2 linked regions of the Oreochromis niloticus genome follow. The protein of the gene in region 1 purifies or fractionates together with the protein of each later gene. This does not show direct contact. Links are inferred from orthologs where the notes say so. Each region holds a gene or a part of one and is shown in the gene's direction. Other genes may lie near its edges.

The links. Proteins that work in one complex are often made in the same cells at the same time.
Region 2: the proteins of chd3 (region 1) and znf512b purify together in Homo sapiens (affinity purification with mass spectrometry; 3 studies listed by BioGRID and IntAct, with this or other methods). This does not show direct contact. The link is inferred for Oreochromis niloticus from reciprocal best matches to the Homo sapiens genes CHD3 and ZNF512B.

The regions. Positions count from the first base shown.
Region 1 is NC_031967.2:19,659,888-19,667,153, reverse strand, and holds the start of chd3 (chromodomain-helicase-DNA-binding protein 3), read left to right. Parts: upstream 1-4,260; 5' UTR 4,261-4,457; intron 4,458-4,575; exon of another isoform or gene 4,576-5,004; 5' UTR 5,005-5,028; coding exon 5,029-5,191; intron 5,192-5,848; exon of another isoform or gene 5,849-5,994; coding exon of another isoform or gene 5,995-6,103; intron 6,104-7,266.
Region 2 is NC_031984.2:15,933,636-15,941,464, reverse strand, and holds the start of znf512b (zinc finger protein 512B), read left to right. Parts: upstream 1-4,808; 5' UTR 4,809-5,898; exon of another isoform or gene 5,899-6,043; 5' UTR 6,044-6,232; intron 6,233-7,546; 5' UTR 7,547-7,548; coding exon 7,549-7,681; intron 7,682-7,829. UniProt on the Homo sapiens protein: Involved in transcriptional regulation by repressing gene expression. Associates with the nucleosome remodeling and histone deacetylase (NuRD) complex, which promotes transcriptional repression by histone deacetylation and nucleosome remodeling.

The DNA.
Region 1 (7,266 bases):
CTAAATGTGTTTTGGAAAAATAGACCGCATAGATTAAGTGTTACACACTGGATAAGACGGTTGATGTCGAACTGGAATGTTGGCATGTGAATATAAATATCTGGTTTGCACTTTTCTCTCAAAGTAGAGTTTGGAGGAGGGGCTAATAGTTTCTTTTCTATTCAGTTCCTATGTTTTCCTGCGTTTTTTTATTATTGCTGTGAAATATTTTAAAAGACTTTAAAAAGAATGTAGACTCAAGATTTATGTGAGTGATTCCCGAGAAAGGAAAGATCAAGTTAAGACACGATATGATAAGATCAGACAAACACTGTTCAGCAAACAACCCGGAACAGATGTAACTACTGATGTTAAAAAAAAAAGCATGATTTTGTAGAAGATACGCTCTTGTGCAGCAGCATTTCATCATATTCACTGTATATCGACGCATCTCTATGTGAATGACTACAGAGTGAAAATAGAGCCTCAGCTAGGTGGTGTGCATAGTTTTTTAAATCTGAACTCATAATCCACAGATCTTCCTGGGTGGTTTTGTAGTGGCAGTGAGTGCTGGCCTTGCTGCTGACTGTGCTGATGGTATCTTGAATCCTTAGAAGAGGGATGACTGGCATCACAGTCCTAACTAAAGGTGAGTAGCATATTCTGATTTGTATCCTCTTTATCCTTCAAAACTCCACGAATAGCATGCAAAAGAAGGCTATTTTGTGTTTTTGACCCATCTGCGGCGAAGTGTAGGAGCACCCACATTAAAAAGCTTTTAATATGTGAGGTTAAAGTCATTATCAGTGGTATCCCTAACCCTAGTGCTGTGTTTTGGAGAGAAGCATATCTATCCACCCACCCATCCATCTAGCTTCTTCTGCTTATCAGATTCAGCGTCGTAATTGGAGCCTGTCTCAGCTTCTTGAGAGAACTTTCTTTTTAAACTTAAAATTACACATTTTAATAGTTTAGGTTAAAATGATGATCACAGATGATGACCTAAACCTTTCTTTTACTGTCCGAAGAAGCCTTAACCCTAAACCTAGATGTGTCATGCTTTATCTGGTGGACGTTAAGAGACTTAAACTTTGCTGATTATGTCCTAAACAGTCTTGATATAGTTGGATAGCTCAGGAGTCTTTCATCACCCTCTTCCTCTCCCTCTTATGTCTCTGATTAAACTTTCCCAGAAATCATCATCTGTAAATGTAGAAGTCTACAACTGGAGCCCATTAACTGGCACAATTAAACCCAAAAAAGCACTGTGTCCCACCTTTACTTTTTAACACTTTATTACAACTGTTTCACTGCTCAGGGAATACGCTGAGCCAAAACTCAACTGATCAGCACTTCTTCTGCTGCTAATTCAATCCCACACCAGCGTCTGCTGGATTGGCCCCTGCTGCACGCCTGTTATTTAAGCATTATCTGCTCCCCGGGTCGCCTCAGTTCAGACAGCTCAGCTCTGAATGGAGCTCAGGAGCCGGTGTCTTCCTCTGTGTGTCACACTGCATAAAATCTGGGTTAGCTGGAGCGCAGCACCCAGGGGAGGCTTTTCTCTCTCATCCTCGACATGTCTCCCTGCCAAACGGACACGGGGAGTGTTGGTAGTGGCGGGCGGGCGGGCGGGGAGGGGGAAGGCGGGTAGTCACAGCAGAGTAGTGCAGTATGTCAGGGCCTACGGCACATGAGAGCCCTGGCTGGTTTCATCCTTTTTTTTTTCTTTTGCAAAAGCATAGTGAGAAACATGCACGGTTATGAGTACAGATACCTCATTCACACACTCGCACACATAGATAGTGTGGGTTAGGGTACGTAAGCTACACACATACACACACTCACACACACACACACACACACACAAAGCTTCCACATCACCAGCCTCTCAATCTGGCAACCACAGACACCTCAGTGGCCAGAGGCTTAGTGGGTGGGTGGATGGGGGGACTCCAGTCACACACACACTCTGATACACTTCTCGTGAACAGACACACACAGACATGTCTCCTCTGCCCATGTTGTCTTGCGTTGCACCGTCTCTCTCTTGGCAGATGTGGCCTTTGGATCAGACACTAACAAAATTCCTCTCATTTGTGGGCGCGGGGCGAGCCGAGCCGGAGCAGCTCGAGCACCTGTTGCAGCAGCAGCAGCAGAGAGGAGGAGGAGGAGCGTGCTCAGCAGGCGAGGCGTAACTGAAATGCTTGTTTACATGATACCCGGTTATTGGTGTGGGAGCCACAGCTGACAGACTGACACATAGCGTAGAGACGGAGCGCGGAACTTGGAGACATGGAGGCTTTACGAGATGTCACAGCGGCCGGGCTGCCTGAGCTGTCGGCCGCGTGGTCGGGATGGCTTTCAGCTTCTGACACTTTTATTTAGCGCATATTTCCACATTTTTCCCCTCCTGCGTTCACTTATAGATCTGTTGGGACAACAGGAGGGTTAGAGAAGGTTGTGTCATGGTGGGGTTCAGGGAGATTTAGGCGTGCTTGCACTGCAACATTTAAGTTATCGTCATATAAAACTTCCTTAGGTTACGATGTGAGCAGGACTTTGTTCAACAGTGGATAACACAGCTCTGCATGTAAAAATAGAGTAGTAATACCTGTGTGTACCTACTATTTTAATTACTGTATATAATTTTATAGACATATAACTTTCTTTAATTTTAGCTGAAGTGGATTTTAAACTTTTAAAAACATACTTTTCTTCCTTTTTTAAGAGATAGCAAGGTGCTATTTGAATATCTCTGTGGGTGTCATGTGTGTACATGTGGCTTGTAGTGTAAACCACAATGTGTGGTCAGTAAGACTAGAAAGCTGGTTCACTGAGGTGACAGTGAGCCTGGATTCACACTGCTTGCATTTTTTAAATTGCATGTGCTCGGCATGCAAACTGAATGGAATGTAAAAGACCTTTTGACTTTGGTGTGGTCTGACCCCCGAGGCCTCCTCAGGGAGCTCAAGCTTCAGGTGCTACTGGGTGGGTGGCACTTTAACTGTGGGGTGGTTGAGCAGGTGACTGTACGCCAAAGGCTGCTGCAGGTGCACAGTCTGAGTCTGCCCCCAGGCCATTTCCTCCACTCTTACCCTGCCTTCTCTTTATACTATACTTTCAAAATAAAGGCTGAAAATACAAAAAATAAATGTTACTACATATATTAAACCCTTTCACAGTGTGTCTTTGGTCCTGTCTTTCTCCCCTCACCCTCACGTGGTCACAGCAGATGGCTGCCCCTCCCTGAGTCTGGTTATGCCAGAGGTTTCTTCCTGTTAAAAGGTATTTTTTCCTTCCCACTCTCACCAAGTGCTTACTCATAGGGGGTAGTGTGATTGTTGAGGTTTTCTCTGTATTATTGTAGGCCCTTTACCTCATATAAAGGTAAAGACCCTTTACCTTTATATAAGTCTACTGTTGTTGTGATTTAGCACTTTATAAATAAAATTTCACACTCTTCCCTCTAACTCTGACAAATGTTCAGACACTTTAGGCCCATCTACAGTTTGCTGAAGCGAATTAAACAGTAAAGACCTGAACAGCTTATTGGAACACAGGTGCTGAGATATTAAAGGGACCAAGGGTCTATGACTACTAGATATTGGCTCACTGGGAAACAAGAGATTGCGACAAATGTGTAATTTGTTCATTATTTATTCAATATCGCTTTCAAATGAAATAGGAATCATGTATTTTAAAACATAATGCACCTTTTTAAAATGTATTATGTAAATTCTTTTTTTAAAAACATATATTTTAATCTTTAGTGAAGTCACAGTTTCTCCTGCTTGACCCTGATTTTCTATGTGAGGCTTGAATGCGAAAAAAACAAAAAAAGCAAATGAAAATTCCTTTTGTCAAAACAAAAGTGCCCCCGGGCAGCCACCGAGGGCTGGCCGGGGTCTAGGCATTCCCATGGCCTTACTGCCATCCAGTTGTCACAGCTCGGCGCCAACGAGAGCGCGACTTTACAGCGAGAGCTCGGAAAATCTCTCGTGGCCGTTTTAAACGCCGGTGCGAGAGACGGCGTGCGCACTTGGAGCCGTTTCTCGCGGTGCTTTCTAGAGGTGGAAACGCGGTTCTGCATACCCCGACCTGTTTCCATCCCCACCACAAGTAGTTAATTTTTTAAGCAATACAATCTGATGTAAGTCTGGGCATGGCTGCGGCAGATTTTCCCAACCCCCCTTTCTCACTCACTCTCTCCCTCTCTCTCTCTCCCTCTCTCTCAATCCCTCCCCAGCACTCACACACACGCACACTCTCTCTCACACACACATATACAAGCGCGTGCACAACCCTACTGCTGCTGCTGTTCCAAAATAATTTCTTTCCTTTTTTTTCTTTTTTTTGAAGCACAACGGTGGGGGCTCCGGAGAATATAAGGTGGCCATATTTGATAGATTTGTGTCGGGCTCTGCAATGCAGAAAGCGAGAGTTGTTGCGTGTGATCTGGCAAGTGACAGTGACACCAGGCAAGTCTGTCGGATTCGTGACTGATCCGGACTTGAGGGGGTGGGGTGGGGGGATAGAGAAAGAGAGAGCGAGAGAGAGGGAAAAAAGAGAGGAGGGAAGGGGGGGTCAGAGAGAAAAGAAACAAACAAGTAACAATGTAACTTACATGCAGTCACACACCCCTTTTTTTTTTTGCTCCTTGTAACAATGTGTACGTTTTTGAGGAGGGAGGGGGCGCGCGGAGGGAGAAAGAGAGAAGGAGAGAGATAGAGAAAGGAGGAGGGGGGTGCGTTCTGAAATAATATAGTCAGCCATTTTTTATGTAAGGGGATTTTTTTTTTCTTATTGGGGGGGTTGTTAAAAAATAAATATAAGAGGGCGGCCATCTTTGTTGCTCTGCCTTGGTGTAAAATATTCCAAAACGCCCCCCACTTTTTCCTGAGCCGATTTGAATATTAAATAAATATCATATAATCGGACAAGAACGCGCTTTTTTCTCCCCCTTTCTTCTTCTTCTCCTTCTTCTTTCTCCCCCCCTTTTTTTTTTTTTTTTTTTTGAAATACAAGGACGGATCCAATGACAGGGATATAATGTCCTCTCCTCTCCGGTCCTGTGAGGAAGACGAGGGCATGGTGGTTAATTCCGAGGGAGGAGATTTTGATGAAGAAGACGACGACGGGGACCTGGACGAGAACGCAAGCGACATAAACTCGCCGGCGGCGCCTCGGGAAACTGCAACACCAGCCGCGCCAGGTACAGTAAAAAACGGGAAACTGGCGGACAGGTCGGGAGCGCGCACACGAAATAAGAAATACACACACTCACGCGCGCTTTTTTTTGCTGCTTTTCTTAGAGGCACAAATATAAGATAGAAAAGCGCGTGATGGAAGTGTCCGAAACCCGCAGATCTTCTTTTTTAATCCCCCCCCCCCCCCCCCCGCCTCCTCCAACACATCCCATCCAGGTCCACATCGGTACAGTAGAAAGCTGCGAGATCTCGAGTGCGCGCAGACAACAACAACAACAAAAAAGAAAGAAAGAAAGCCTCCTTTGACACTTTTTCCTTCCTCTTAAAAAAAGCCAGCCGCACTCAGGCTGCTGTCCTGTTATGGCAGCTATACGTTGCTGTAGGTGCCATATTTGCAGCTGCGAGAGCGCGCTGTGCAAGCACAAGTCCAGTTTGCAACAAAAACGCCACAAACTCACACACACAACCTACTGTATATGTGTTTCTGCTGTGTTGTTGTGTTTTGCACTTTGTCCTCACTCCACTTCCTCTTTGCGTCTAGCACATCCCGAGCAAAAGTTTAAACTGAACTTGGCACCGCTGTTGGGGCTTTGCCTCCCCCCCTCACTTCGTCGCAATCTCACTTCACAGCCGTGAAAAGTTGTTGAAAAGAAAAAAATAGTCCCTTGCTTTTTTTTTTATTGGTGGGGTTCTTGGACGTGCAGGACTTGCAAATTGTTTTTAAAAAGCAGAGGTCTGCGGGGGTAATGAGGTCGCCCTGAAGGACTGGCACACACGCTAACATGGACTCTCCTCTTGGCCGGAGGCTATGTATATATCTGATAGCCGTCTGGGGAGACGATGCAGTCATAGAGCCGGGCGGAGAGTGTGTGAAATCGCGGCGAGAGGCATAAACTGCCTGGTTGTCGCTGTGACAGGTCAGGACAGGACAGCACTGCCCCGCACGCCGCTCGTTTTCTTGCAAAGGTGCCTATTGTGCGGACCTGCTCGCTCGTTACCCGTATTAAACGTCTATTATCGGGCATGTTTGGTGCCTCGGAGCTGGGTGTTAGTGTGTCTGTGTCTCATTCTGTTTCTTAACCGCCCCCTTTCGCAGCAGCAACATACAAATATTGATCGCGTCAGGCGATTAATGACTAAATGACATTCTGGAAGTTTCTGTGGCAGTGAACTTGCACGGGGGGGGCAGTGAAAGTGAAGGGTGCAGAGAGTGGAGGCTGGTTAACCACACTGCAACAGTGGAGATCAGATGCACGGCTGAAAGCTGCCGTCGTGGGCTGTACTGTGAGCTCTGGTTTGGATGTGACTGAAGCACAGAGTTAAAAGTCAGCTCGGAGCTCCGAGTGTCAGGACGGCAGCCTGCACAAATCATCCCACTGCGCTCTTTTTTTTTTACTTCATTAGCTCGAGGGCTCCGTGGACCTGCTGTCACGCAGTGCCAGACAGATAAATTAGTGTCGAGGCCTCCCGGCGGGAGGACCTTAACCCCATCGCGACCTTGTTTCCAGCAGCGGTCACAGCGGTGGTGGTCGGGGGCCTGAGGGGAGAGAAGTCGTTCCAGTTCACCGCTCCGGCGGCCTCTGAATCACCGAGCCCCGCGTGCGTGCCGCTGCCGCCCCCGGCGTGCGTTCGGCGGCTGCACGCTGCACGCAGACGGGGGAAGTGGGGTTGGCTGGTGGACGGGGTGGGAGTGAGGAGGAGGAGAGTGGTGGTGGTGGTGAGGGGATGGCTGTTGCTGCTGCTGTTGCTGGTGGTGGGGGGAGCGCACACCAACAAAGGCAGGCAGACAATAAAAGCCGACAAATCGCAGCCTGTGAAACGGGACGAGCGGCTGGCGGCGACCGCAGCCCATATTTTGGTCATGCTTCAATGCTTTGCTGCTTTCTCCGTGAAGCCCGGGCTGCTATCTGCCTTCGTCTTCCTGTGTTTCTCTTGTCATTTCCAAGCCAGGTCGGGCTGCAGGTTAAATTGCTTTCTCCCCCCGTGGCGATGTTTCCCACGTACAATCGGGAATAACTGGCCTGACATTTTCAGATCTTTTGCCACATAATGTCCGCTGGTTTCAGTTGCTGCACAGTGG
Region 2 (7,829 bases), on another chromosome or scaffold:
GTGATCCTGTATACTGTATGTCACCTCTTACACACAGATACAACAAGAAGGACGAGCCTCTGTTTGTGTTCCGTCTTGTTTCTGTCCCTGATGTGACGCTGTACTGTCAAATGGTCAGAAAACAAGATACGGTTGAGATTCCCACTGTGAACGAAACCAGCACCTTTGATGTCCTTCTAGGCAACAGCAGACAACGACGATGACAGTGATGCTCAAGACAGATGACTAAATCAGTGAAATGAAACGTTAAAAAAAAACACAACTTCCAAAACATCTGCACCCACCATCTTCCAACTGTCCTTTTACAAGGACGCTTTGAGTAATGTGAGATATCGACTGTTAAATGGGAAGAAAACACACTTTTATTTTTAGATGAAACAATGTACTGTAAATACTGGTTTACATTGACTGATGATTTATGACCTGCAAAAAGAGAAAACGTTTCTCTGTTTTACAGATTCAAAAGTGGATGGAATGGAAAATGATGAAAGCTGTCATCATGTTTTTTGAATAAACTAACTGATATGAATTGTTGGTTGAGTTTTTAATCGGCAGCCATTGAAATGCATGTATTTGACAGTAAAATTACAATGGGGGGGAAAAGGCACAACAAATGAAGCTAAAAACAGGAGACAAGACAAAGGAAGGCATAAAAGAAAGAATGGAAAAGAAACAAAAAAACAAGCCCCAGAATAAGATAATCACACTTCAGCCTAATATACACTGCCAAAAACTATGATTTAACCCTTTATTTAGTCAATCTTACAATATAACGTCCAATATTTTTCCAAGATAGAGAGATATTTTAAGTTAAAATAATTTTCAAAACTACAATTGGTTCCTCTAACCTTCTTTAAACGCAGCACCTGATCGATTGGAACAGTTTTTGGCAAGCAGTGCTCCCATTATCAAATTTGACTACAGAGGCAAATGATAGATTGTCCTCTCTGTTTCAACAAATCAACCCGAGTCTCTCTTGGAAATGATAAATGGTTTGGGTATTTTGGAATAAACACAGCAGACACATCCAAAAATAAATGCAACATGGTTCCATTTTTAGTTTTGAAGCTTTTAAAAAGGTTGATATGATGGTCAAATAATGTTTAAGACTTCTAAAAAATGAATATGTAGCTTAAACTGTGAAATAACATTTTTATTTTCTTGCTAAACATAGAGAAATGCAACTTGTGGGTTTCTACATTCATTACACATAAGCAAAGATGAAAATGCATAGAAACATTGCATTTCATTATTTTGTTTCACACATGGTACAACAGTAATTAATTTCCTACACACAAACCTTTGTTTCAATTAAAATAACACTGTATCCATGCATGAAAAGAAGCAGGAAGAAGAATAAATTCTTATTAACACCTATCTATAACAGTGCAAGTAGGCACTGACAACCAAAATACACTCTGACACTATTCTACACACAACAAAACAAAACAATATAATCAACAATGAGCAATACCACTAAATAGCAAATTAAAAAGGATAATTCTTTCTACAATTAACTCCTGTTATTTGAATCTTCTTCATATTGGTTTAACATTTTATTCTTATAGCACCTTTTAAATTGATAAACATTTGTACAACTCTTAAGATGATCATGGAGACAATTCCACATTCTTATACCTATAACTGTTGGACTCATTTGCCTTTGTGTGGTCTGAGCAAACTGATGCTTAAAATAAAACTTCTTTCAACTATCCCCATTTTATGAACACAATACAAATAATCTTTGTAACTTAAGAGGCAATGTTTTATTTTTTGCCCTAAACATAATTAATGATGTCTGTAATTTCACTATATCTTCTAGTTTTAACAAACTATTTGTGTGTTCTCTATATTTAACATTATGCATAATTCGTAGCGCTCTCTTCTGTAATAGGTATAATGGTTTTATACTAGTCACAAACACAAACGCTTGGTTTTAAAAGGTCACAAAACTCACTCACCTTAGCAGTTTTCCCCTCAGAATCAAAAAGTGCTTCTAGACATTATACTTTGGCGTTATTACCTTAAACGGAGTGTGTTTATAATTTCAAGTGTGTAAGAATGTTCAGAAATAATTTTTTTTTAAGAAAAATAAACTCAATTTGAATTACAGTTACTGAATATTTGTTGCAGAAGTTGCATGTGCTTCCTGAACTGTGGGTCCATCTGTGACAACTCTGACTCTGTGAATGCAAAACAGTGCTACACACGATTATTTTGTCTGTGTCTTGCATGCGCATTTACGCACGCACACTCACAAGCACACACACACACTGGCATCCAATTACTGAGAGACATGAAGCATCTCACCTGTTAATAACAGGGCACATGTATGATAAACAGAGTCGGTGAACAGTAGCTTTCTCAAGCTTGACAGGAAAAAAAAAAATCTGGCGCAGATGGTTGGATGGTGCAGTTAATTGGATACTGTTTACTGTTAAGTGTCTTTTCTTTCTCTGTATGGCATTTGTAGATGAATGAATTCCTTTCAGAAAGCTGCTCTTTTATGATTATTCGCTAAAATACCCCAAAGCTGACACCCTTCTACCAGATTGTTTATCGTTATCTGCTAGTGACTTTGATCAGATGGATCTTAGTCATATGACAGCACTGAAATTGAATGAAAAACACTCTGTCCTCTCTCATCAGCTATATCTGTTGACAAGCCCTTTAACGGTTGCTTGAGTGAATTTCCTCTATGGAATAAACTTAAACAGCTAGAGAATTTAATTTTTACTGGCATCCGCCAGATGTTAATACAGAAAACTAGTACAAAACACATTAGCATGAAATAGTGCATGTCTGCTCCCCCGACTTTCCCTGGAAAGGTCAATAACAGTAAGCTGCTGGTTCAACTTTTCAAGAGCCTTTAAGTGCACAGACCACTCCACCTGGCCAATTTTATAAACTATTAAGTAGCCTTTTGCTCACTCAGCAGAGCAGGAGCGGGAACATAAATCACTGCCATAGTTGGAAGTCTTAATCAGGGGTCAGACTAGGCTCTGTATGAACTATTCATTAACAGCCATTAAGGAAAGCAGATTTCAGGATCAGCTGCATATTCTTTGTAGAATGGCAGCTGCCAATTGCACAGTGTCTTGGTTTGTCAGCTGAGTGCCCCCTCTGGCCTAACAGATCAGAGAAACCCCAACAATGTCTGTACCAACACGTGCCACTGCATAAAGTCCAGTCACACATTAAATACTGACAACGATGCTGCAGGAACCCAAATATTTCTATCCAGTAATCAACAAGAACTGTTTCTAACCCACAGGACTGCACTGCCCCCTTGTGGAAGAATACAGATGACCCTTGACTGAAAAGAATAATGAAACCCTATGAAAGCTTTTCAGTGGTAATAACTTAATGTTATATAGTCTAATCGTGTGAAATGAGTATCTACGACTACTCCCCACATGGGTTTATCTTGTCATCTTTTTATTGCACATGCACAAACATGAAGCCACATAGAAACCTAACCACTTTGTGTTAAATACCACAAAAGTGACTACAACTACTGAAATATATATATCTATATATATGTGTATCAGTAGTTGTATTTCTTGTTCCACTAGCCCACTTCTCACGGGTTTGTCTTGGTTTCCCAGCATCTGATGTGGATTTTAGTAAACCAGGTCACATCCAAGTTGGTATGCTTTTAGCTATAAGTGTCACGTTCCGCATATGTGTCATGCTCCAGATCTAGCCTGGGGACCCTTCCTGGATACATGCCCTGATAGGGACATATATACACTCACTGATCACCTTATTAGGTACACCTTGACAGTGACTGGACTGGCTGGACTGTCTTGGACCTCATTGCTTTGAGAACTGTCTTATTTTTTCCTCACAGAGGTTCATTATTATTGTAGGACCTCTGTGTTACAATATAAAGCCTTGAATAATTTTAGCCATTCTCCTCTGACCCCTGGCATCAGCTAAGCATATTTGCATGGGCGACTGCTGCTCACTGGATATTTTCTCTTTTTTGGATCATTCTTTGTAAACCCTAGAGACGGTTGTGTAGGAAAATCCCAGTAAGAGTTTTTGAAATACTCATAAAATCCCGTCTGGCAACAATGCCACATTCAAAGTCACTTAAATCACATTTCCTCCCTAGTCTGATGCTCAGTTTTAACTCCAGGAGTCCATCTTGATTAGAAGGATGTATATATGGACATACTGAGAAACAGCAAAGGAGTTGGCAAAAATGCTGGAGACTGTGATGAGGTTAATTTTACTTTGTATTTATTATTGCTTTTTATCTTAATTCTTTTTCATTCATTTTGTTTTGAAAAGTGTCCCATTGTGTACTAATGTTCCTTTTCTCATGCTCAAGCGCATTGAGGTCATTTTATTTTTAATCAAGAAAAAACTTTTTAATCGCTAATCTCTCCCCTTCTCAGAAATATTTATTAGGCATTATTGAAATACCAGTAATACTTTCACATTAGTCAAACCTGCTATAAAAATGAGGATCTACCGCCCTCCTCTGGCAATAACGATCCCACATAAATTACATCATGGTTCCTGATGATTTCCACTAATAGGAAATATCGGGTCATGATGACTGGCACCAATCAAAGACTAGCAGGGACCCTCTGTTGTTTTACTGGAAGTGAGTGACGTGGCAGTGATGCCGTGAATGATTAATTTAGAAAGAGAGAAGAAGAAGAAAAAAGATGTGGGCTCACACCATATGTGAAGCATTTATTATTCTGTGTTAAATGGGGAAATGCCAGTCTGTTCATATAGCCCGTAACCAGCTTGCAGCTATACAGCAATTAAAGACTCAGCAGTGTTATTGACTGCAGGCCTGTGTGCTGTTAAGCTTCCATTAACATAAAAAAGGACTAATGGCTTATGTCTAAATACTGACCTTGAATTGAAAACACAGCATCAAAGACTTGTATTCTTTACTAAAGTCTGGTTTTAAATGCAAAATATTGAGCCAATTAATAATTCACTTTTTTATGTGGAGCCTTTTGCTCTTATGTATAGCTTTACCAAATTATAGGCATAGTTGATATTTCAGAGGCTTTTTTGGAGGGAGCTACTTGCAGTGACTACAGCACCGGCCTGGTGTGACAGCTAGAACAGCCTGCCACAGACTGGACAAGAAGCCGTTATCGGCTGCGCAGGAGGACGCATGGGAAGAACATTTTGGCTGCAGCTAGATTAAAATAATTCGCTAAGGGTTTGTATACGGAATTTAAGCCCTGACCCTTTTTTTTTTGTCGTCAGGAGCGAGCGCCGTTACGTCGGAAGAGTAGCACGAACCGGTATTGCAGCGAGTTTATTAGCCAGAAAGCCCACTATTATTCAGCTCGAAAATTGATAATAATAACGCGAGAGTTTGCAAGTTGCCTCAAGACTGTAGTTGCAACTGTCAAAGGTGGAGTGGATACGCGCATGACCCAACACACATTACTGTAATACTGTACACGGCCGCCGAGATAATATCCGTATAAAAAAAACGAATAATCCCGAGGTAAGGACCCGAGGAGTGAACCAAACCCGACCGAGATTTGGCGCTTCTGCAGATTTTCCTTCGCTTCGTTTTCTTTTACTCTAACCAACAGACTCACAGCCGTCGAAATTACTGCACTAAACATATTTTTGTGCCTCCCTTTAGCTCCAGCCAGCGCAAGGATTTTTTTTTTTTTACTCCTCCTTCGTAATAAAGTCGCCATTTTGCTTCACTGCCTATATAAACCATCCCGTATTCTAATATTTTTTCTCAAGGAGTCGAGGACCTGTCTGTCTTTCCTGGCTATTTCTATTAATTTGGAGAGTTTAACGAGAAGACAGGGGTTGGAGAAGTGCCTCGTGGTATACATATTAATGCACGAAAGGAGAGGGAGAGGGGGGGCAAGGCAATTGGAAGCTGGAAATAAGGTGAAAGTATCCTGGATTTCTTTTCATGTTCAGACGAATTTGTAATTTCTCATCTCCTGCACTGCTCTTTTTTACCGTCCACCTGGTCGTCGTCTGCAGACTGGGGGGGACAGGACGACGGTGACGACTGTCCGCTTCCTTTCAGGCCCCCCAAGCTCACCCTGACCGCTCCTTGACGCACAGCAGGTGTGATTGCCATGTAACATAACGTTGGTGGGAAAAAAAAAAAACGCCTACTTTGGTGCCTGTCTCCTGCCCCTGACCTCCTCCTACCTCACGTGGATGACCCGGGGCCACCCGGGCTCTGGTGCTGGGTGACTGCTCGACAGTTAAGGTAGGTGTGGCCGGGGAGGAGGAAGAAAGTAGAGCACTATTTTAGTTAACCACATAAATAGGCAACTCAGACCTTGTTGTAGTTGTCAAACACAGCGTGGCAGTGTGCCACGTGCGGTGTTAAAATACTTATCTCTAGGTTGGTCTCTCAGCAGATTGTGAGAGGAGATGTGAGTGGGTGTCACGGGGTTTTGTTGTGTCTAGCTAAGTGTATGGTAATAAAGTTTCTGTAGCAGGCTTGTGTTTACATGTAGAATTAATCGTTTATGAAAACCCCAGCTGCAATGTATTTATTCATTTATTTATTTAATAGGAGGATGCTGTTGAAACACTGTGGCAAATCTAAAAGGGGGTTATCCTACGTAATTATTATAGGGTTGCACAGCAAGACTCACCATCAATCAGCCATATCTTTCTCACCACATCTGTTTATTTTAAGTAGTTATGAGCTGATCTGTAGCGCATCTCTTCATGCTCTGATACATCATACCGGAAAAGGAAGATGCCTAGTGTTAATGTGTGAAAGATTTCATCAAGTTGCACCCTGCAGCAAGTTCACTGTGCATAGTCAAAATCATCAAAACTTTACAACTACTGTGAACGTTTTATCTCTGTGGTATTCACGCAGTGAATTGCACAGCATGTAAACGGACACTGAGTGGCCCCCATTGAGTGACCCTTTGTGTGCGTTGTAATTCATTAGGAGAGTGACATGAATGTGTGCTAAGAGAAACCATGTTGGATTGTAATCAGTACCACTCACCATAATTAGCAATTGTCAGCCTCTATTCAGAAGGCTGTTCCTTCCTGATGGGGAATGATGTTTAAGCACAGAGAGTCTGAACTTGACATGTACTATATAGCCATGGGGATTGATGGATGTAATGTATCTCACTTGACCTGAACGAGAGATCGCTGGTTTTCATAGTAAAGAAAGCTTGCACAGCTGCTCAGGAGAGTAGCTTTGTATCCCCACCCTCTCTTTGACTCACCTTTTGTCTAATGGGCAGAGCATGAAGTTAGTGTGCGAGTGAGAGTATTGATTTTGAAATGAAAACATGGAAGGTCACACCCTCATTACCACACGTGTGCCTCCGCTCAGATAACCTTCAGGCCAATAGCACTGATGGCCAACATAAAGAAGCTGCATTATTGAACAAGGAGACAGCATCATCACACGCTATTGATGCAGCAGACTTTGCTAATAATGTTTTGACAAACAATGGTTTCGGATTAATGAGCAGCAGAAGCATTTCCGATATTACCTTTAGCTATGTCTCCTGTGTGTTTGTACCCCCTCGTTTGTACATTGCAGGCATGGAGAGCCCAAGTGGGCCCAAGCTTGGGAAGCTGTCCTCATCAGGGCTGTCGAGGGGCCGAACGCCCAAGCATGGACATCCCCAGGAGCAAGTTAGAACCATGTCAAGCCCTGAAAACCACAGCAAACATAGTGAGTGACGAGCCGCTACATTTTGTTGAATGAATAGAGTGTGTGAGTTCAGGTTTTGTTGGTATGACCCAAGTTTGCTCCTGGACTGATTCTAGGATGAAGTTCATGAAGCGATACAGTGTGAAGAGTAGGTACTGGGTGCATACAG